Rattus norvegicus: one gene and its partners. The protein of the gene in region 5 interacts with the protein of the main gene of each other region in a pairwise test. Links are inferred from orthologs where the notes say so. Each region holds a gene or a part of one and is shown on either strand. Other genes may lie near its edges. The genes, in order: Cep57l1, Ccnh, Bicdl2, Tsnax and Klc3.

The links.
Region 1: the proteins of Klc3 (region 5) and Cep57l1 interact in binary tests that used the Homo sapiens proteins (3 or more experiments, as listed by UniProt). The two-hybrid records come from large-scale screens. The link is inferred for Rattus norvegicus from reciprocal best matches to the Homo sapiens genes KLC3 and CEP57L1.
Region 2: the proteins of Klc3 (region 5) and Ccnh interact in binary tests that used the Homo sapiens proteins (3 or more experiments, as listed by UniProt). The two-hybrid records come from large-scale screens. The link is inferred for Rattus norvegicus from reciprocal best matches to the Homo sapiens genes KLC3 and CCNH.
Region 3: the proteins of Klc3 (region 5) and Bicdl2 interact in binary tests that used the Homo sapiens proteins (3 or more experiments, as listed by UniProt). The two-hybrid records come from large-scale screens. The link is inferred for Rattus norvegicus from reciprocal best matches to the Homo sapiens genes KLC3 and BICDL2.
Region 4: the proteins of Klc3 (region 5) and Tsnax interact in binary tests that used the Homo sapiens proteins (3 or more experiments, as listed by UniProt). The two-hybrid records come from large-scale screens. The link is inferred for Rattus norvegicus from reciprocal best matches to the Homo sapiens genes KLC3 and TSNAX.

What each region holds. Positions count from the first base shown.
Region 1 is NC_086038.1:46,842,265-46,846,049, forward strand, and holds part of Cep57l1 (centrosomal protein CEP57L1), read right to left. Parts: intron 2,801-3,785; exon of another isoform or gene 2,684-2,800; intron 2,122-2,683; coding exon 1,971-2,121; intron 1,947-1,970; exon of another isoform or gene 1,794-1,946; intron 1-1,793. UniProt on the Homo sapiens protein: Centrosomal protein which may be required for microtubule attachment to centrosomes.
Region 2 is NC_086020.1:17,569,201-17,573,448, reverse strand, and holds the start of Ccnh (cyclin-H), read right to left. Parts: upstream 2,956-4,248; 5' UTR 2,827-2,955; coding exon 2,710-2,826; intron 1,624-2,709; coding exon 1,501-1,623; intron 1-1,500. UniProt on the Homo sapiens protein: Regulates CDK7, the catalytic subunit of the CDK-activating kinase (CAK) enzymatic complex. CAK activates the cyclin-associated kinases CDK1, CDK2, CDK4 and CDK6 by threonine phosphorylation.
Region 3 is NC_086028.1:13,194,693-13,199,029, forward strand, and holds the start of Bicdl2 (BICD family-like cargo adapter 2), read left to right. Parts: upstream 1-1,512; 5' UTR 1,513-1,586; intron 1,587-2,802; 5' UTR 2,803-2,815; coding exon 2,816-3,097; intron 3,098-4,337.
Region 4 is NC_086037.1:69,876,118-69,879,902, reverse strand, and holds part of Tsnax (translin-associated protein X), read right to left. Parts: exon of another isoform or gene 1,283-3,785; coding exon 1,152-1,282; intron 1-1,151.
Region 5 is NC_086019.1:88,180,583-88,184,887, forward strand, and holds the start of Klc3 (kinesin light chain 3), read right to left. Parts: upstream 2,841-4,305; 5' UTR 2,812-2,840; intron 1-2,811. UniProt on the Homo sapiens protein: Kinesin is a microtubule-associated force-producing protein that may play a role in organelle transport. Plays a role during spermiogenesis in the development of the sperm tail midpiece and in the normal function of spermatozoa.

The DNA of each region.
Region 1 (3,785 bases), on a different chromosome or scaffold from region 5:
GTCAGTGGCATGTATGCAGTCAGCCCACGTGTGCTGGGGATATGTCTGCTCTCTGCCTGGCGCAGGGCTGGCTCACTGCTCTGGATCACTCTCTTATGGTTGGTTAACTCAACAGAGATTCACTGATGTCATGGTGTTGGTGGGTTTCCATCAACACGACACAAGTCAGAGTCGTCTGAAGAGGGAATCTGAAATGAGAAACAGCCCTCTACCAGGCTGGCCCGTGGTGCATTTATGTATTGATGGGGATGGCCTGGCTCTCTGCTGGCAGCTGCCTCTGAGCTGGTCATCCTGGGTGCGACAGGAAGGCAGGCTGAGCAAGCGTGAGGAGTAAGGAAGCAAACAGCTCGCCTGCCTCCTGCCCTGGCCTCCCTCAGTGATGAGTGGAAATGAACCCTTTCCTCACCGCAGAATTTGGTCATGGTGTTTATCACAGCAACAGAAATCCTAAGACAGTAACCATTACTACGGATTTTTTGAAGGGTGATAAACAGATCTTATAAAGTAATTTGTAAAGCATAAAATATTTCTGGAGTCCTATTTTCTAATATGATTTGAGGTTCTCTTTGGTTTATGTTTAAAACATTGCAATAGTCACTTTCTATTGTTACTTGGATATAAAAGGATTTAAGGGTAACTGTGGATATGTGTGACTTCTGACTGCTGCTTGAATATGATACAATCCCACTGGCATTCTGATTATCTACGTTAGAAGGATTCTGACTCTAGATTTTTATTCTATCTTTTACTGATGTACTTATTTAACTTTTTCATTTGTATGTGTACATCACGTGTGTGTGGATGAACATGTGCCATGGCACACACACGTGCATGCACACATGCACACACACACACACACACACACACACGCCCAAGGACAACCCTCCAGCACCAGTCCTCGCCCATGTGGCTGCTGGGAATGCATTCTTAACCCCTGAACCATCTCTCTATTGATAGTCCTTGGATTTTTATTTTATTTCCAAATTGACAAGAAATTTAATAGAAAAAGACTAATTTATAAACAGACATTTTGAGAGGTCAGAAGAGATAAGCAGAAAGTGCTCCTCAGTGAAATGTCATCCTTCTGAAGCCATGGAGACTAACATCATAATCATGTGACTAAGATTAAAAAAATTGAAAATCGTTGAAAATCGTTTTAAGCCTGGTCTGCACGCATTCTTAGAAAGCCCCCCTGCTCTGCTCTGCTAGCGAGTGTAGAACCATGGGGCCCAGGGCGAACTCTGTGGTGGGAAGGAGGTGCAGACCCGCCGTCTGGCGGCCCAGCCTGTGTGGTGGCACCTGCCTATGCGACAGCACTGCAGAGGCTGCACGGGGAGGGAGAGGTGTTTCGAGGTCAGTGTGAGACCCTGAAACAAAAGCTAAGAAAAACCTAAATAAAAATTTTACTTTAGGGGCTGGGGATTTAGCTCAGTGGTAGAGCGCTTACCTAGGAAGCGCAAGGCCCTGGGTTCGGTCCCCAGCTCCGAAAAAAAAAGAACCAAAAAAAAAAAAAATTTTTACTTTATCACGCTAGCAGTACAATTTTATTCTTTTTGTTTGTTTGTCTGAGGCAGCAAGATTTCTTTATTTAGCCCTGGCTGCCTCAAACTTGCTGTATAGACCAGGCTGCCTCAAAATCATGAAGATCTCCATCTTGAGAGCTGGGATGAAGGACACGTGCTACCACTCCCCTGGCCTTTGACTTTTATCCCTAAGAGAGTGGTTTTGTTTTCAAAGGTACTTTTATTATAACTATGATATCTCCTAGTTTGCCTCATTAATCCGTAGCTTACTTTTGGGAATGGTGAGTGACCTACGAAGCTCCCAGGGAAGAGCAGCAGCGCTGGTCAAGGGCTGTGTGAACACTCAATACACGGTCAAGCACTTCTGCATAACCACAGCCGGGTCACTCCCACGCCACGCACTGCTCCTGCCGCTCTGTGGAGTTCGTTCGTTCGTATTAGCGTTACCTTGGTTGTTCGGACTATTAAACATCTTAGGAGAGCTCCCGGGGTGGCAATTCTGAGATGCTTCGGTCTGTGAGAACGACGGGAGATACATTCTCTCTGGAGGGTTAAGGTAGCTCCCAATCATACTGTGCGGTAATTCAGCATCCATTGTCTGTGGGGATGGAGAGACAGGGTGTGGTGTCACTGACCCCATCAAAGGACAGCTAAGTCACACACGATGACACAGCATGTAGCCGTTAGCAATACATTACACAGTTATACATTCACAAAGTTAACTATTACCACGTCAACTAGGTTAAACTCAGTAATAAACAAGCAATGTATGTGGTGTAAGCGAGAGACGTTTTTTCCTGGGTGTTCCTAAGTTACATGTACCTCAGCCATAAAACTATGAGTCTAGGATTTCAGGTACATACTCAGACAATTCAGGTTTTCAACAGCAGCCATTAACAATAGTCTCATAGTACTTTTAGACATTAACAGATGAAATTCCTGGATGTAATCCCTGAGTAACACACACTTCCACTTAAGGAGCCTTCACACTAATTATCTACTGAATGCTGGCTGGTGTCATTAACTCACAGATACACTGGATGAGTTGAGGCAGTATTTGTTTCAAGTACCACTCACTGGCACAATTCTAAGCCAGAGAGCTTTTTATAAATGTAACTAAAGAATGTCATAAAGATACTAAGTTTTTATTTCTGCATTACATTATTTTCTGTGACTTCAGGGCTTTCCTGGTTAAAGAGGCAAAATCTGGCTTCTCTCCATGACAGTATTCCTGAGAAGGGCAAAAGGGAGGCTTCTAGAATTTTCTACTGTAGCTTCTAGAATTTTCTACTGCAGCTATTGCCATGACAACCTCGTATGGCTGCATGAGGCAGGTTCATTGAAACGCTTGCTGCTCTTTGCTCTTGGGAAGCACCCAGGCTTCTCCATGATTGCAGCCACTCCCACTGACTGAGCCTGTCTCCAATGCCCTTGGGGTATGGCTGTTTATTCACGGTCTCTCCTGTGAGGGCTGATTCCCTCAAAAAAGCAAGATACTAAGCTAGTCACGGCTGGCTCACTATGAGGTGGAGTCTACTAGAGTCCCAACGTAAGTTCTGAAGGTGGATATGTATCTTCAGAAACAGAGAGGTTGGTAAGAATCTCCTCAAAACACTAGAGTCATTCAGTATATATGGCTCCTTTCTCAGTTCCTGGGTTGTCCCTCCAATAATGGGATGGATAAAACATATCTCAGTTTCTACACAGTTTGGAAAATGAAGACTACTCTGACCCAAGTATAATATATTTCAGATCAGATCTTGGCACAAATTAGAAGATTGGGAGTGGTGGCACACTCCTTCATCCCAGCTCTCGAAGGCAGAGGCAATGGATCTCTGCGAGTTGGAGGCCAGCCTGGCCTCCAGGGTGAGTTCCAGGACATCCAGGGTTATACCATCCCTAGCATCATAGAAACCAGGGCTGTGTACCTTCGGAATCCCAGCACTAGGAAGGGTGATACAGGAGAATAAGGAGTTCAAGGTCACTCTCTGCTCCTGGGAGTTCAGGGCCAACCTGGGCTACATGAGTGAGGTCTTGTCAAACAACAAGCAACAAAACACACTGGCTTAGGTTTAATGTTGATAAAATCCTGACTACTCAGTAGGCGCCAATAAAGAGACTTGTTAATAAACACATGTCGAGTAGATACAAACAGCAACAAACTATCTGCAGAGTGAAAATAAAGAAGTACCGAGAGATGGCTCTGGGTGTGTGTGGGGGTACTTGCTGTGTAAACCTGAATTTCATCCTTGGAACCCAAGC
Region 2 (4,248 bases), on a different chromosome or scaffold from region 5:
GTGGGTGTTTTCAAGGTCTTTGATTCTATTCCCCTGATCAACCTGTGTGTTTTAATTCCAGTACCATGCAGTTTTTATTACTACTGCTGTGTAGTGCAGCTTGAAATCAAGGATGGTGATACCTCCAGAAGTTCTTTTATTGTACAGGACTGTCCAACAGACGACTAATATCCAAAATATATAAAGAACCCAATAAACCAATTAAAAATGGGGTACAGAGCTAAACAAAATTCTCAACAAAGGAATCTCAAATGGCTGAGAAGCACCGAAGAAATGTTCAACATCCTTAGCTCCACTTTGGAAATCAGTTTGGCAGTTTCTCAGAAAATTAGGAATAGATCTTAAGTCCCAGCTAAACCACTTCTGGGCATATACCAAAAAGATGCTCCACTGTTCTACAGGGACACACGCTCAACTGTGTTCATGGCATCTTTTTTTATGATAGCCAGAAACTGGAAACAACCCAATGTCCCTCAATGGAAGAATGAATTTAAAAAATGTGGTATATCTACAGAATGGAATACTATTCAGCTATTAAAAACAAACACATCATGAAATTGGAGGGAAATAGACAGAACTTGAGACTATCACCTAGGGAAGGCTTGGGGAGTCTCTGGGGGTGACTCTAGCTGAGATTCCTATGACCAGGGGATATAGAGACTGAAATATCCACCTCCTGTAGCTAGCCAGGACTGCCAGTGAAAGGAGGAGGACATCAACCCATCCATCCACAAACCCATCAACCCAAAATTTGTCCAGCCTGTAAGATAAGATTGAAGATGGAGCAGAGACTAGAGAGAAAGGTCAACCAGTGACTGGCTCAACTTGAGACCCAGCCCATGGGAAAGAGACAACTGACGCTATTACTGAAACGCTGCTGTGCCTCCAGACAGGAGTTTACATAACAGTCTCCTGAGACGCCTCATCTAGGCCCAGATGGAAACAGACGCGGAGACCCAGAGACAAACATCAAGAACTTGGGGAGTTTTGTGGAAGACTGGGGGACAGACTTGAGCAAGCCAGAGGAGTCAAGGACACCAGAAAAGGACTTATAGAGCCAACTAACCTGGGTCCATGGGGGCTCACAGAGACTGAATCACCAACCAAAGAGGGCTGGATCTAGGACCCCCTCCATATTTGTAGCACATGTGCAGCTTGATCTTCATATGGGTCCCTAACAATTGGCGTAGGGGCTGTCTCTAACTCTGTTGCCTGCCATCGGATCCTCTTTCCCAAATTGAATGACTTGAATGTTGGGCCTCAGTGGAAGAGAAGATGCTTCTGGGAGTAGATCTAGGGTGGTACCCAAAGGGGGAAGGGCTTCCCTTCTCTGAGATTTGCAAAGGGTGAGAAGAGGTGGTAGTGGTAGTGGTGGTATGATTGGAATGTAATGTGAAAAATAAAATTATCGGGGGTGGGGGGTGGGGAGGAAGGGTGAAGAGTAAGAGTTCAGTTCTCTCAAGCTAGCTAACAAGCATATTCTTCTTTACAACTACTTACCACAACAGACCGTGGCATAGCTGGTTTAAACACTGAACAAAATTCCAACAATCTTTTTTCATAGTATTTGCAAAGTGTCATTTCTTCATGAGGCTCAAGAAACAACGGATCATTTGGAAGAACCTTTAGACAGAGCAAACAATTCAATGTAAGTTCAGTGCATTAATTGTACAACTGTCTTCTCTGTCTTGCTTAAATCTGACTCATACCATCAACAAAAAACAGACCTTACATTTTTTTCTCTTTGTAAGTTTGCTAGGCATTAAGCAAAATATCTAGGAAAATAATACACAAAATCAATAAACGGAATCTAGGTCTTCATTTCACAAGTTCTCAAACTGTCAATTTGGACATTTTTAAACAATCATGACAGAGTATGCCAATATACTCCCAGGTTTGAAACCACTATTTGTAAGTTAAAAAGAAGATACATATTTTCACTTGTTGGAAATCTCCCAAAGTAGTTTTCTCAGCCAATCAATGTGTCACCCAAATTAAACCATCATCATCATCATCATCAACAACAACAACCACCACCACCTCAATTCATTGGCCACCTTCTTGTTTTGGGAATACAAATCTTATTTGCCTGAGTTACCTCAGGGCAGTACAATAAAAATGAGTGGGAAACTTGAAGGAAGACCAGTACCATAGAACAAGCCATACTCAACTGGCTTCCTTGTGCAACATTCTGAGTTCAGGTTGTTTCTGGAAAGCAGATCCAACAAGCCATCATTTTCCCATTTGAAGTCTTTGGAAAGTCCCCTTCAGTTCTGGCATGAGCTTCATCCTCCTTACACTTCCACTTACAAGTTGCTTGCCCATGTTCTTCAACCACTGCCACAGAGGTACAGCTTCACCCACGAATGACCACGAGCACTCCACATACTTTCCTTCGAGTCTGACTCACAACTAGACACCAACGGCTGTTTCTGCCCTCCCTCCTGCCAACTATAGATAATGGTTTGTCCTGACATCCCGAAAGACCAGTGACCAGTTCGAGTCCCGCACTAAAATCCGCACTCTATCAAGGCTTTCGCTATTCCCTAGGATGTTACTCGCCCGGGACTTGACTGTCGCGTCAGTCACTGTCTGCACTGACACGGCCAGGTGAGCGGTTTACAAGCTTCCAGCCGGCAGGCAAAGCGAGACTTCAGGAGGGTCCCCAGGTTCAGGGTGGGCACAGGGGCTGGCTCGCGGGGACCTCACCTTCCCGTTAGCCACAGCTTTGCACTTGAATTTGCGGTTGGCGTCGGCCCGCAGACGCGCCAGTTGCTCCTCGCTAGCGAAGGTCCAGTGCCGCTTCTGGCTGCTGTTGTGGTACATGCTGTAGCCCTCACGGGCCGCAGGGCCGAGACAGAAACAGCGACACTCCGGGAGACAGCAGCCACGAGCGACTGCCAACGCGAGAACCCTCGGCCCAGACCGCAGGCGCGCGCGTGACGTCACGGTCACGTGCCTGCGTCTGCCCGGGGCCTTTCCGGAACCCTAGGGAGGGATTCCGCGACGTGGGAGGGCGGAGCCTCGGGGCTCCCAGGCTTGGGGAGGAGTCTGACGGACGTGGCCTGGTAGCGTCAGAAGTGGGTGCGGCTGCAGTGATCCTGGTTCCCGAGGACTCGTGAGCACTAGGGACTTCAGGACCTGTGGAGAGAGGGACTTGATTGGAAAATGGAAGTGCTGGATGCGAATTCAAGCTACAGCTAATGCAACCTTTCTCCAGAGGTTTTTAATCTTCCCAGTATTCCCATCTCCGAAGACAAAGTGGATGCTAGTTTTACAATTCTGTTTTATTGGACACCGCCAAGATGTAAATTATTACCTGGAAATTTTTCAGTGCTTTTTTTTTTTTTGTAAACAAACACAAATGTCTTTGTGCAGTCTTAAATTGTCCTATGTATTGTTTGTAGACAGACTCTTAAGTATTTTGAGTGCCAATATAATTTATAATCTGAGTATTGCAATCACAGATCTGGCTTTGCAGAGCATGGTCTCCAAAGAAAGGTTTTACATACTTTACTAAAGTTACCAGCAAGAGCACACACATAGATAGTACTAGGATTTCCTTTCTTGCTTTGAGGAAATATCCCATTTCTTAAAGTCTTATCCTAAAATCTCTAGGATAAGGAGAAAATTAAAAGAATTCAAGATTATGTGCTCTTAACAGGAAAGGGAGAAAAGAGGACCAGAAGAATAAGGATCAATTTTACTTACATAACTTGAAGTAAGTTTTGCATATCTTTGTGTATATGGTATGCATGTTGTAATGACTATTCCTGGTTATCAACTTGACTATATCCGAAATGAACCACAACCCAGAATTGGAGGGCTCACCTGTGACCCTGTCTTGAGGCTGGAAGACACAAGATTCCAACCTGGATCTTGGCATAGAGATCTTGAAGCACAGTGGCTATGACAAGGTTAGGCCCAGGCAAGGAAGTATGCATACTCCTTTAATCCCAGGAGACTGGGGCAAGGAGATCTCTGAGTTCAAAGTCAGCCTGAGACAAAAATAGGTCCCAGATCCAGGCATGGTGGTACATGCCTTCTGGGCCACACACCTGCTGGAGGCCTACATAAGGACTTTGGAAGAAGGAAGATTCATTCTTCTCGCCTGCTTGCATTTACTTGCCAGCACATCCGTTGGAACCTTCTATGGAAAACCAACTGAAACAACTAGCCTGGAGGGACTGAGCAACTACCAGATTCTTGGACTTCCCATTCACTGCTGACCATTGTTGGGGTAGCTGC
Region 3 (4,337 bases), on a different chromosome or scaffold from region 5:
TCTCTCCCTCCCTCCCTCCCTCCCTCCTGATTATATACCTTTCCTACTTACACTCAGCTAATATTCTGGTAGTAACTTCAAATCCTCCTAGAGAGAGTATTTACACCACAGAAACCAGTAAATGTAACAAGCTACAGCTTTCATTCTCCCCAGAGACCCCAGTGTTAAACATTTGCCTGCACGCCACTTCCCCAGAAATGTGTTTGTTCTCTGCATCAGGTCTGGGATTCCTGTCCTGTGCTTCAGGAAGCCCTAGTGTCTAAAGTGGATTACTAGGAGCCATAAGACCAAGGCTGGGGTTTCACTTTGTGAGCTGGTCCGACATCACCTGCCTTGGCTCCTACCCCTCCATACCATGACTGCTGGTCTTGCTGGAGCATGAAGCCCAACTCTGCAGAAAGAAAGAACTGAGACCCCCCTCATCTGGAGCCACGTGGACGCAGGTGTGCTTCAAGGCAAGCCACCTTAAGTGCCTGGGAATCAGCGTCCTGTATGCTGCACGGAATTATTAAAGAATAAGATACCAGAACTGGCAATATAGTCAGTCGGTAGAGTACTTACCTAGCACACACTGGGCACTGGATTCAAACCCCAGCATTAGCTGAGTGTGGGGTGGTGCATGGCCGTCACCATATCAACCACCAGGAGGTAGAGCCAGGAGCACCGGAAGCTCCCAGTCCTCCGCTGTTTAGTGAGTTTGAGGCCACCCTGTGATACATGAAGACCCCCCCCCACCTCTCTCTCTCTCTCTCTCTCTCTCACACACACACACACACACACACACACACACACACACACACACACACACACAGAGATTCCTCCTCACACGTTCACTGTTCCAAATGATAACACCTCCCTGTCCCCCATTGGCTCATATATTTGAAGGCTTTATCCCCAGTTGGTTGATCTGTTTGGGAAGGATTAGGAAGCCAAACTTTATTGGAAGACAAGCTCATGCCAGGTCCTCACTCTTCATCCTCACTCTCCTTCCTGCCCATGTATCAGAGGTAAGCTCTCACTACCTACTGCTCCACTACCAAGCCTGCCTGCCTGCTGCCATGCTCCCAGCCTTGTTCGTGGTCTCCAACCCTCAAAATAAATGCTTTCTTTTATAAGTTGCCTTGATCATAATGCTTTGTCACAGCAATATAAAAATGAGTAAGACAACAAATTTGTACCCCAAGTTAAAAAAAAAAAACAAACCTGTCAGTAGCTGCTTGCTTCCTTAGGATGTCACAAAGGGAAAAATAAATTCCTTTCTTAGTGGAGGGCTTACCACTGTATCCTTACTAATAATTTTCTATCACAAGGGCAAGCATGAAGAGTAAGAAGCTGACTACTTTGCTGAGCCTATAGAGCTGCACATAGTAGGTGTTCAATTAATGTGCCCAGTAGGAGCAAGATAGATTCTTTAAGAGGATGGATGGGACTTTCCTTTGGCAGTGTCCAGTCATTCCCACCACCAGGGGGCGACCCAGCCCCTCCCGCAGCACCGCCCCGTCACCTGTGCAAGCCTGCACCTGGCGCCGCCTCCGGAAGAGGTCTTCGGGGATCGGGGAACCTCGGAGAGAGCCGGGTGGCGACAGGTGAGAGCCTAGGGGGTGCTGAGGGCGGGACACCTAGGTTTGGGGCATGGTTGGGGAGGACCGGTCGGAACGGTAGGATGAAGGCGATCGGGAACAGCCTCTAGGGACTCTGGAAGTAACTCCGGGAAGCCAGGACACCTGCAGCAATGAGAGTGGTGGCTGGGCATTGGATATCCAAAAGCAGGGTCCGGGAACCCACTGTGCCCAGCCCCTAGGACAGCTGGACCCGGACATGTATAACACCTGGGATTTTCCGGCCCAGCTGTACTTGGCACCTGTCGAGGGGAGGGGAACAGGTGTTCGTGGGCTCCCGGGTGAGTAGGGGGCGGGGACCCTACCGGGGTTGGCGTGGAGAAATCAGAGTGTCAGGCCTTTCCTCTGGAGCCCCTGAACCCCTCTCCCTGGGAGGCCCTCATAAAGCATAGGGCTCCCATCCCCAGGGGCGGGCCGGGAAGTAAACAGAAACCCGAAGTGGAGGCTGTGGCGCGCTGGCTGGCACAACCTGTTACCTCGCCCTGTGCTGGGTCAGCGCCAGGGACCAAGGAAATTGGGGGTCTGCGGACGAAGGCTCCTAAGTCAGGAGGGGTAGAGGCAGGAATACCTGAGTCTTGATAAAATAAGGATTCAGGAGATCCCACTAGGAATCCAGGAGAGGGGCGCGATGGCCATCAAAGCTGACAAGGCTAAACCAAGTCTAACGCACTTGGGTCCTGAGAAAGTAGACAAGGATATGGGAAGGCAAAGAGCCAGAGATCTGAGTTTCTGGAAGGGGAAGGAGTTGGATCCCTGTGGCTAAAGGGTCAAGACACAGCTGTTCCCACTGGTGAGAACTGCACTCTCAAGATAGGGAGTTGGTTTCATCCCTAAGACTGCGTCTATGTGAGCCTACCATTCTAGGATTAGTGCCCAAGTGGTGAGGAACTAGGAAGAGGAGCAGGGTCTGTCAGTGGGTTGCTTGTGGCACCAGAGTACAGGGACAAATCTTCCAACGAATGGGTGACAAAGGCAGGAGAGGTGGAGAGCAAGGTGGCTGGTTTCATTCTGCTTCCAGACTCAATCTACCCTGAGGTCATTAACGGAGCTGGGTGGCCAACAAGGATCATTAACCCTTGTTGGCCCAGGCTACAAGATTGAGAAGCTTAGGTGTTTGCCACTAGGGGGCAAGCCCGGGGGCTGCTGCAGAATGGCCATGTTCAGCAACAACCTGTCTTCACAGATGCGTAGGCACCATGGACTCCCCTGGTGGGCCAAGCTTCTCTTCCGGGCTGCTCTCAGGGGGTGCTTCTCCTAGTGGCGATGAAGGATTCTTTCCCTTTGTGCTGGAGCGTCGAGACTCCTTCCTGGGAGGAGGCCCAGGGCCAGAAGAACCAGAGGACCTGGCACTGCAGCTGCAACAAAAAGAAAAGGACCTGTTGCTGGCCGCCGAGCTTGGCAAGATGCTTCTGGAGCGCAATGAGGAGCTTCGGAGGCAGCTGGAAACACTGAACGCTCAGCACTTGGAGCATGAAGAAGTAAGCTGGCCCGGGACAGGTGGGGGGGGGGGGCACAGGCAGGGCTGGGATAGACGGGAAGAGCCAAGCGAGGAGAAGGAGAGAGGACATATGGGAGAGCAACAGATCTCAAACAGATCTGGGCAGGGAAGCCAGGGAGAGGGCAAGCCTGTAGTCCCAACACTCCAGAGGCTGAGAAAGACTACATCCAAGACCTGTCCCCAGAGAAAAAGAGCCAGGCATGGTAGCACAAACCTTTAATCTTTAATCCCAACACTTGGAAGGCAGAGGCAGAATGATCTCTGTGGGTTCAAGGCCAGCTTGGTCTACAGAGTAAAATCCTGTCTCAAAAAAAAAAAAAAAAAAAAAAAAAAAAGGAAGGAAGAGAGGCTGGAGAGAGGGCTCAGCGGTTGAATGCTCTTCCAGAGGTCCTGAGCTCAATTCCCAGCACCCACATGGTGGTTCACAACCATCTGAAATGGGATCTGATTCCCTCTTCTGGTGTGTCTGAAGACAGCGACAGTGTACTTATATATCTTTAAGAAAGAAAGAAAGGGGGGTTGGGGATTTAGCTCAGTGGTAGAGCACTTGCCTGGGAAGCGCAAGGCCCTGGGTTCGGTCCCCAGCTCCGAAAAAAAGAACTAAAAAAAAAAAAAAAAAAAAAAAAAAGAAAGAAAAAGAAAAGAAAGAAAGAAAGGGGCTGGAGAGATGGCTCAGCCATTTAAGGCTAGGCTCACAACCAAAAATATGAGGAAGAAAGAAAGAAAGAAAGAAAGAAAGAAAGAAAGAAAGAAAACACACACATAGAGAAAGGACTCGCACATACACATTAATTTAAAAAAATAAAAGCTAAGAAAAGAAGAGCAGTGGGGGATGATGGGTACTTGGTATGATGACAGAGTTCTTGCCAGGTAAACGCAAACCAGCAGCTCCTGTATGCAGCCGTTGGAAAGTGAAAGCAGGACGTTCAAGGCTGTACTTGGCTATATACTGAGCTTGAACCCATCTTGGGCTACATGAGACCCAAAAAAAAGAAAGAAAGAACGACAACAAGAACTCTAAATTGGAGGTGTAGTTCAGTAACAAGGTATTTTTGTAACACGTGCAAGGCCTTGGGTTCAGTCCCCAGCCCAGCAATACATAATCAATAAATATCTCAGGCAGGGTGTGGTAGAGCACAGCTCAATCCGGGCATCCCAGGAGGCAGGGACAGGCAGGTATGTGAAGCCAAGCTGGTCTCCACAAGCTCTAGACCAGCCAG
Region 4 (3,785 bases), on a different chromosome or scaffold from region 5:
CACTGAGGCAGAAGAATGGACACTTTGTACCCGTGTCAGTGACACATACCACTGAGGCAGAAGAATGGACACTTTGTACCCATGGCAACTACACATACCACCTAGGCAGAAGAATGGACACTTTGTACCCGTGTCAGTGACACATACCACCTAGGCAGAAGAATTGACACTTTGTACCCGTGTCAATGACAGTACTACTGAGGCAGAAGAATGGACACTTTGCACTGGTGTCAAGGCTGGGCAAGCAATGTAGACAATTACCTATTTTGAAAACACCCACCTCTAGGTGACCAGACACTCATCTAACCCATCATTCACTCTTGAATAAAATAATTACATTACTTAGGAGTTAAGCAGTTTATTTTACACATGTAAACATCTCAAAACATGGTAAGTATCAGTGAGTAGACTAAGCTAAAACAGTATGAAAATTTGTTTAAGATGCAGGACATTCCCCAACCTGTTAACTTCTCAACAACAGAAGACGTCATGGAAACGTCTTACGTTCCAAGCAGTTAGTGGGCGTGTACTTGTCCAACTGTGCCTTTGGACAGTTCAGTCTGCCTCAGCCCGGGTGCACTGCTGAACCATGAAGCTGTCTGTGCTCACAGCCCTCTCAGGGAAACACCGTGCCCCACTACCAGCACTGTGCTTAATAAGCACAAAACTCCTTAGTTCAAAGCCAGACCTATTTTATCTTCAAGTCAAAAGAACAGCCTTTCGGAGAAACAGCAAAGCAAGCAGTTACCAATGACACCAGCAGCTTTTCATGGCCTCCTGCCATCCACACTATACATACGTTTCTTTTCCTAAGTGCAACTGAAGCAACTTTCACAGTCACAGATGCAGCTCCCTGTGGAGCTGGAGAGCAGGTGCCACTGCTGCTTCTGTTCAGCACTTCCCTGTACAGCCAGGTAAGGCAGCACTGCACACACACAGTGTGTGTGTGTGTGTGTGTGTGTGTGTGTGTGTGTGTGTGTGTGTGTGTGTGAAGTTCTTTGCATGGCATCAGCAGATAGCTCAGTGGGTAGAGCACCTGCCACCAAGCCGATGTCCTAAGTTCAATTACTGAGGCCCCCATGGTGGAAGGAAAAACCAGTTGCCACAAGCTGTGCTCTTCCCTCTGCACACGAGGGCTCCTTCAGACTCACCTGTGGTGACAGCACGATGGAACTGGTGCATGTCTTCTCCTGAGAGCTCTTGGGCTACCTGCAGCATTTTCTGTCTGACCCCATCCAGCTTACTTTCTGATTCAGTCAGAATCTCCTCCATATCAGGAGCACTGGAAAGAGATCAGGAACCTTGAAAACGTCGGCCTTGTGATCAAAATGATAAGAAAAGCCCTATTCATAGCAATCAGCCTCTGGACTTGGCTGCTTCCACCTAAAACAACTCAAATTAATAGAGCGTGCCAACAAAGGTCTCAAACACTGCACCCAAGCACGCGGACATCAGACAGGACAACAATCAGGGTCCTGAAGACACACCCAATGTCCAAGTCAAGGCTTGGAGAAGTTTCCTCCTGACAAGGTAGGAAGGAAGAACCTAGGCAGAGCCAAAGTCCTGAGTTGAAAAGTTGAAAGTTTAAGGAGGTCACGAACTAAGGTCATGGATGAACAGGCAGGGCAGAGAGCAAGGGAGAGTCTCGGGAGGACAGTGCTTTAACACACTGCACTGTAAGGGACTCCCCAAGTCTCCGACTGAGTACAGGTTGCTGCAGTGGCCGGGTACTCGAGTGGGTAGGCAGACAGGCAGAACAATCCCACAGCCTCCAAAGCGGGAAGAGCCCACTCATCAGCAGGACACTGCATGTGCATGAACCGAGTCCTTCAGGCACAGAGAAACTCATCCCAGATGGGCATGGGGGTCCATGTGACTGCAGGGCCAATGTGTGTCTGTGCATCTGTAGGATGAATGGTGTCCTGCAGGTAGGATGAACAGAGGTGACAGAACTGCCACGGTGGCCCAGAAAGCTGGGGTAGGAGGGAAAGGAAGCCTCCTTGTATGCTAAGCCGTGCAGCTGCGGTAAAGCGACACAGGAGCAGCCCTTATCTCCAGGGCAGTGCAAGAGCTGACAGGCACCTCAACACAGACCTGAAGTCACCACCTTAGCTGCCATACAGAAGCACCTAAGTGAGTCTGGTCTCCATAAGCTCCAGTTACCCAGTACTATCTGAGAGAGATGATCCAGACTGTTGAGACACACATCGAACTCAATTAAGCAATCACGAACACACACACACACACACACACACACACACACACACACACACACACACACACACAGGGGTACAAAAAATATCCAATCCAGGGCCACTGATGCTGTGCCAGCCTAGATACCTGGAGTTGATTTCCGGACACAGGTTCAAGCAGAATAAGAAAATGTACCCCACAAAGCTATCCCCTGGCTTCCACATGCAGGTAAATAACACATAAAATAATTCTAAAACAGATAACAGTTGCTGGCTGGTGGTGACACAGGCCTATAGTCCCAGCACACAGGAGGCAGAGGCAAACACATCTGAATCCAAGACTAGCCTGATCTACAGAGTGAGTTCGAGGACAGCCAAGACTACACAGAGAAACCCTGTCCTGAAAAAAAAAAAAAAAACGTCCTTTTTTCCTTTCTTCTGGTACCAGCTGCTTGCTGTCGAAATGGGCAAGTTCATGAAGCCCAGGAAATTAGTGCTGGTCCTGGCTGGACAGCACTCCAGACACAAAGCCGTCATCCTGAAGATCACTGATGATGGTACCTCAGACACCCTCACAGCCATGCCCTGGTGGCTGGAATTGACCACTATCGCTGAAAAGTGTCAGCTGCCATGGGCAAAAAGATTGCCAAGAGATCCAAGATCAAGTCCTTCGTGAAAGTTTTTAACTACAACCACCTCATGCCCGCAAGGTACTCTGGGGATATCCCCTTGGACAAAACTGTTGTCAACAAGGATGTGTTCAGAGACCCAGCTTTGAAATGCAAGGCCAGGCTTGAGGCCAAGGTCAAGTTTGAGGAGTGATACAAGACGGGAAAGAACAAATGGTTTTTCCAGAAGTTTCAATTTTAGGTATTTTTTTTTGTTTCCATCATTAAAAACTAAAACAAACAAACAGTAAGAATAGTCAGTTCAGACCCTGGGGATAAGATTCAATGGGTGAAGTACGTGCTATGGGACCCTGAAGGCCTGAGTTCAGACCCCCTGAACTCTAGTAAAAGCCCAGCCACGGTGTTGAACATCTTTAATTCCTATGGTCAGAGGAGCCACACGGATGCCTGCAGCTCAGGGCCAGTCTGGGCAAAGCAGCAAGCTCTAGGTTCAGTGAAAACCCTATCTCAAAACAAGTCTAAGTCAGAGAACAGAAGAATCAGAAGCAGCACCCACCCTCCATGTGCACCTGCAAACAGACACACTCAATCCAGAGTGAGACAGAAGCCAGTATGGTGGCACACACCTACAGGTCCACCACAAGAGATGAGAAGGCAAAAAGAACCCTGAGTTCAGCCTGGACTACAGAGACTATGGCTCCAAAGACAACAGAGGGCTGGAAAGAAGGCTCAGAGGGTAAGGCAAGCAGCACAACAAAAGGACAAAGGACAAGAAACAGACAAAGCAAGAAAGAAAGAGAATCCAGACCCATCACTAAACAAACGACCTTGTAAGCGCCCCCACCAGCTGTCATAAATTACCGGGATTGATTTTTAAAATGTAAGAGAAACAAGAAATCCAACTTAAAAGTAGATATGCATTGTTTTGGTTTGTTTTTAAAGGAAGCTGGTGTGGGTATATATG
Region 5 (4,305 bases):
ACTTCCAACCAATTCAAGTTCCAGAGGATCTGACGCCCTCTTCTGGCCATGTGGGTATTGCACACACCTCCTGCACACACATGCTTGTAAGCAAACGCTCATGTACATAAAATAAAAATAAATCGTAGCAAGGGGTAGTGGCACGTTTTTAATCCCAACACGTGGGAGGCAGAGGCCTCTCTGAGTTCAGGCCAGCCTGGACTACAATTCGAGTTCCAGGATAGCCAGAGCTACACAGAAAAACTCTGCCTCAAAAAGAAAAAAATCTTAAAAGAAAAAGGAGACACTGGGAACACAGCTAGACAAACATTGCCAAGGCCCTGGATTCCATCCCTAATACCATAAGGGAAAAATAAAAAGTTGATGGATGGGCATATGGTACAAATCTGGGATCTGAGCTCTCAAATCGGGGTTCCAAGCCATCCTTGGCTAAACCTTCCTGTGCCGCCTCAAGCACTGGTACAGGCAGACAGCACTAGTCGAGGGCTTGTTTATTGTTTGTTTGGTTTCCAACACAGCGTTTCTCTGCGTAGCCCTAGCTGTCCTGGAACTCACTCTATAGACCCGGCTGGCCTTGAACTCAGAGATTCACCTGCCTCTACCTCCCAAGAGCTGGGATTAAAGGCATGAGCCACCTCTGTTGGGCTGAATACATGTAGTTTTTAAAGAGATAATCCTCTGCTCCACACAGAGTCCAGTGCCCACCCCACTTCCTCTGATGATTTTGGGACTGCCTGAAGCAGCGTTTTCTAAATCTCAGAGTAACAAGTAGGTGTGTGTGTGTATGCATGTGCGTGTGTATGCATGTGCGTGTGTGTGTGTGTGTGTGTGTGTGTGTGTGTGCTCCTGCAGCATTCCAGCCCAAAAAGAGACCCAACTTCAAACTCTGAAATACACTTTCTACTTTGTGAGCAGCTTTTCCAAAGGCTTTAAAAAGTCAAAACCTTGGGGTTGGGGATTTAGCTCAGTGGTAGAGCACTTGCCTAGCAAGCGCAAGGCCCTGGGTTCAGTCCCCAGCTCTGGAAAAAAAAAAAAAAAGTCAAAACCTTAATTCCAATGGTCTAACTGGGTACCACCAGGTTATGACTCTGGAGAGGAATGGTGGTCACACCTTTAAGCCCAGCAACTCAGGAGGCAGAGGCAGGAAGATTTCGTTGAGTCCAAAGCCAGCCTGGTCTACAGAGTGAGTTCTGTCTAAAAACCAAAACCAAAACAAAACCAAAAAATCATTTCAACTTCTCCCCAGATGTGGCCTCTCCCACCTGTCATCCCAATACTCAGAGTCAGAAATGGGAGGATCGGGGTTGGGGATTTAGCTCAGTGGTAGAGCGCTTGCCTAGCAAGCACAAGGCCCTGGGTTCGGTCCTCAGCTCCGGAAAAAAAAAAAAAAGAAAAGAAAAGAAATGGGAGGATCCGGTGTTCAGGGTCACTTCATCTCTACAAACAAAACCAAAACCATATATAGAGACACATAAATAAGGTCATGGTGAGAGCGTGTGGAACCCGAGTGGGCTCAACCTCACAAACCATGTAGTCAGTCTCTTTACCACACAAGCTCAGGGTGAGCCATCCTGACTCCAGTCATTCTGCCCCAGTGTGGCCAGGGTCACCACCCCATGGCACAATCTCAGACCCAAGGAAGCCTTTGCTCCATATGCAGCTTCCCACAGCTTGATACCCAGATCAACAATCATGGGACAGCCACAGCTCAGCTGCAGCCATCTGCCACTCGAGCTGTCCCCAGCATTCACAGGAGCCCCATGAGAGTTTCACCAGTCCACAGCAGGCACACAGCGTGCACGCACACACACACACCTATGCAAACCCCAGCTTGCAGACACAGTCACACTCATACCCCCCCACACACAGATCCCCACCCCAGGGATACACAACCAGAAAGTCAACAGTTAGTCAGTGACAGTCACATATCGCTGACACAATTCCACACACTCCACCCCAACTGTCACATAACACCTAGATCCAACCCCATTAGGCAGCCCATTCCCTGTCACCCATGGTCATACGTGTGAATCAGCCTCAAGTACAGAGCTGATCACAGACTCAGCATCTCAGTCGCACATGCTCAGTACTGTGCACAGTCCACATGTAACACACACACACACACACACACACACACACACACAGAGACAATTAGACAAGATCACCTACATTCACTCGGTCTGTCCCCATCAGAGTGACATGGTAACCTATCTCCCTTTTACACTCTTACACTCTTACCCACAATCTTTCTTACTTTAAAAAAGATATATAATTTACATATACATATGTATATATATGTATATATTGATACAGAGTTTCTTTAATATATAAACAGAGCTTCTCTATGTAGCCCTGGCTGTCCTGGAATTCCCTCAACCTGGCCTCAAATTCAGAAATCCATCTGCCTCTGTGCCCCCACCCCCCACCCCCAAGTGCTGTGATTAAAGGTGTGCATCATGATGCCTGGTCCTTATTTAATTTTTTTCCCTTTATGTATGGCAGAGGCACATGGAAGGTCAGAGGACAACTTGCAACTTAAGGGAGTCCATTCTTTTCTCCCACCTTGTGGATCCTGCAGACCAAACTCGAGAAATTGACAGTTTGGCAACAAGTGCTTTTACTCTCCTTGTTGGTTCTCTCCCCCTTTTCTTTTTCTTCCTCCCTTTGACACTTGTACCCACAATCCACCCTCCTGTCTCCCTTGAGTACGAAGCCTAGGCTCGCCTTCAACTCCGTTCTCCCCGCCTCAGTTTCCACAGTGTCCCTTGCCTTACTCCCTCTCTTTGCACACCCCCGCGCAGGCTCCCTCACCATGCACGTCTTGCACTCTCAGGCTGCAGCTGGGGACTCTCCAACAGCGCGCCAGCCTCTCCCCTGGCCGCGGAGACCCTGCACCGTACTTCGCGTCACAAGGCCCCGCCCCGCCCGCAGCTGTTTTTCTACCCGGCTAGGGGCGGGGCAGGGCCCCGCGGGGACCCCGAGGCTCATCCGAGCCGCCAGACCCATAGCCCCTTCTCTCCATCCCTGCGGCCCCCTCGGGAATCCCGAAGCAGCCGCCGCCGTCTCCCGTGCCCACCTGACGGCCGCCGGTCTGAACCGCCTCGCTGCGCGGAGACCCGACTGCTCCCGCTGCGAAGCCGCTGGTCCGGGAGGCTCCTGAGGGGGATGGGGCAGGGCAAGGCCACGCCCCCGCAGGTGCGCAGGCCACGCCCTCGGTCGACACACATTGAGAAATCCTCAGTCTAGGATCGGGGTGGGGCGGGGGCGGGTGGAGGCCACGCCCCTGTAGGTGCTCAGGGCACGCCCTACGCCGCTGCAGTAGGAGAAGCCTGCAGTTTAAGAACTTTTGTAAACTCTGTCTGGGGTCCTGCGAGAAGGCTCAGACAGTAAAGGTGCTTACCGCCAATCCTGAGGGGCTGAGTTCCATCCCTGAGACCCTCAGGGTGGACAGAGACGGGCTCTCACATGTTGTCTTCTGACTTCTACATGTGTACAGTCATACGTTCACACATATGAAGTAAACACATAAAAACGTAATTAAAACTTTCTTGGGTTGGGGATTTAGCTCAGTGGTAGAGCGCTTGCCTAGCAAGCGCAAGGCCTTGGGTTCGGTCCCCAGCTCCGAAAAAAAGAAAAAAGAAAAAAAGAACTTTCTTGAAGGGGCTGGAAGGATGGCTCCTAAGGTAAGAACGCTGGCTGCTTTTGCAGAGGACCCAGGTTCAATTCCCAGAACCCACACATGTTGCTCAAAATCATCTGTAACTCTAGTTCCGGGGGATTCAGCACCCTCTTCCAGGGCCTCCACAGACACAGCATGCACATAAAGATAAAAACCTCCAAAAATACTGTTTCAATAATTGCAACCTCAGAACCTTACACAACAGTTTCTTTCCGGCTGACAAGACGGTAGTAAAAACGCTATCTGCCATGCTTGAGAACCTGAGTTTCATCTCCAAGAACCAAATGGAGCCTGAAAACTGACTCCTGGGAATTGTTCAGGAGTCGTCCAAGGAGAGCCTGGCCTCCACATGCATGGATGGAACATGTGCAGACATACATGTGTGTTCGTGTATACGTACAGACATATAAACAAGAGGGGTTTGTTTATTTTGAAGATTTATTCCTTTTTTTTTTTTTTTTGGTTCTTTTTTTCGGAGCTGGGGACCGAACCCAGGGCCTTGCGCTTGCTAGGCAAGCGCTCTACCACTGAGCTAAATCCCCAACCCCGAGTGTGTGTGTATTTTTAAATTGTATTAATTCTTCCCCCTCCCTTTTTGAGGCAGGGTCTCACTGTGTATCTGAGTA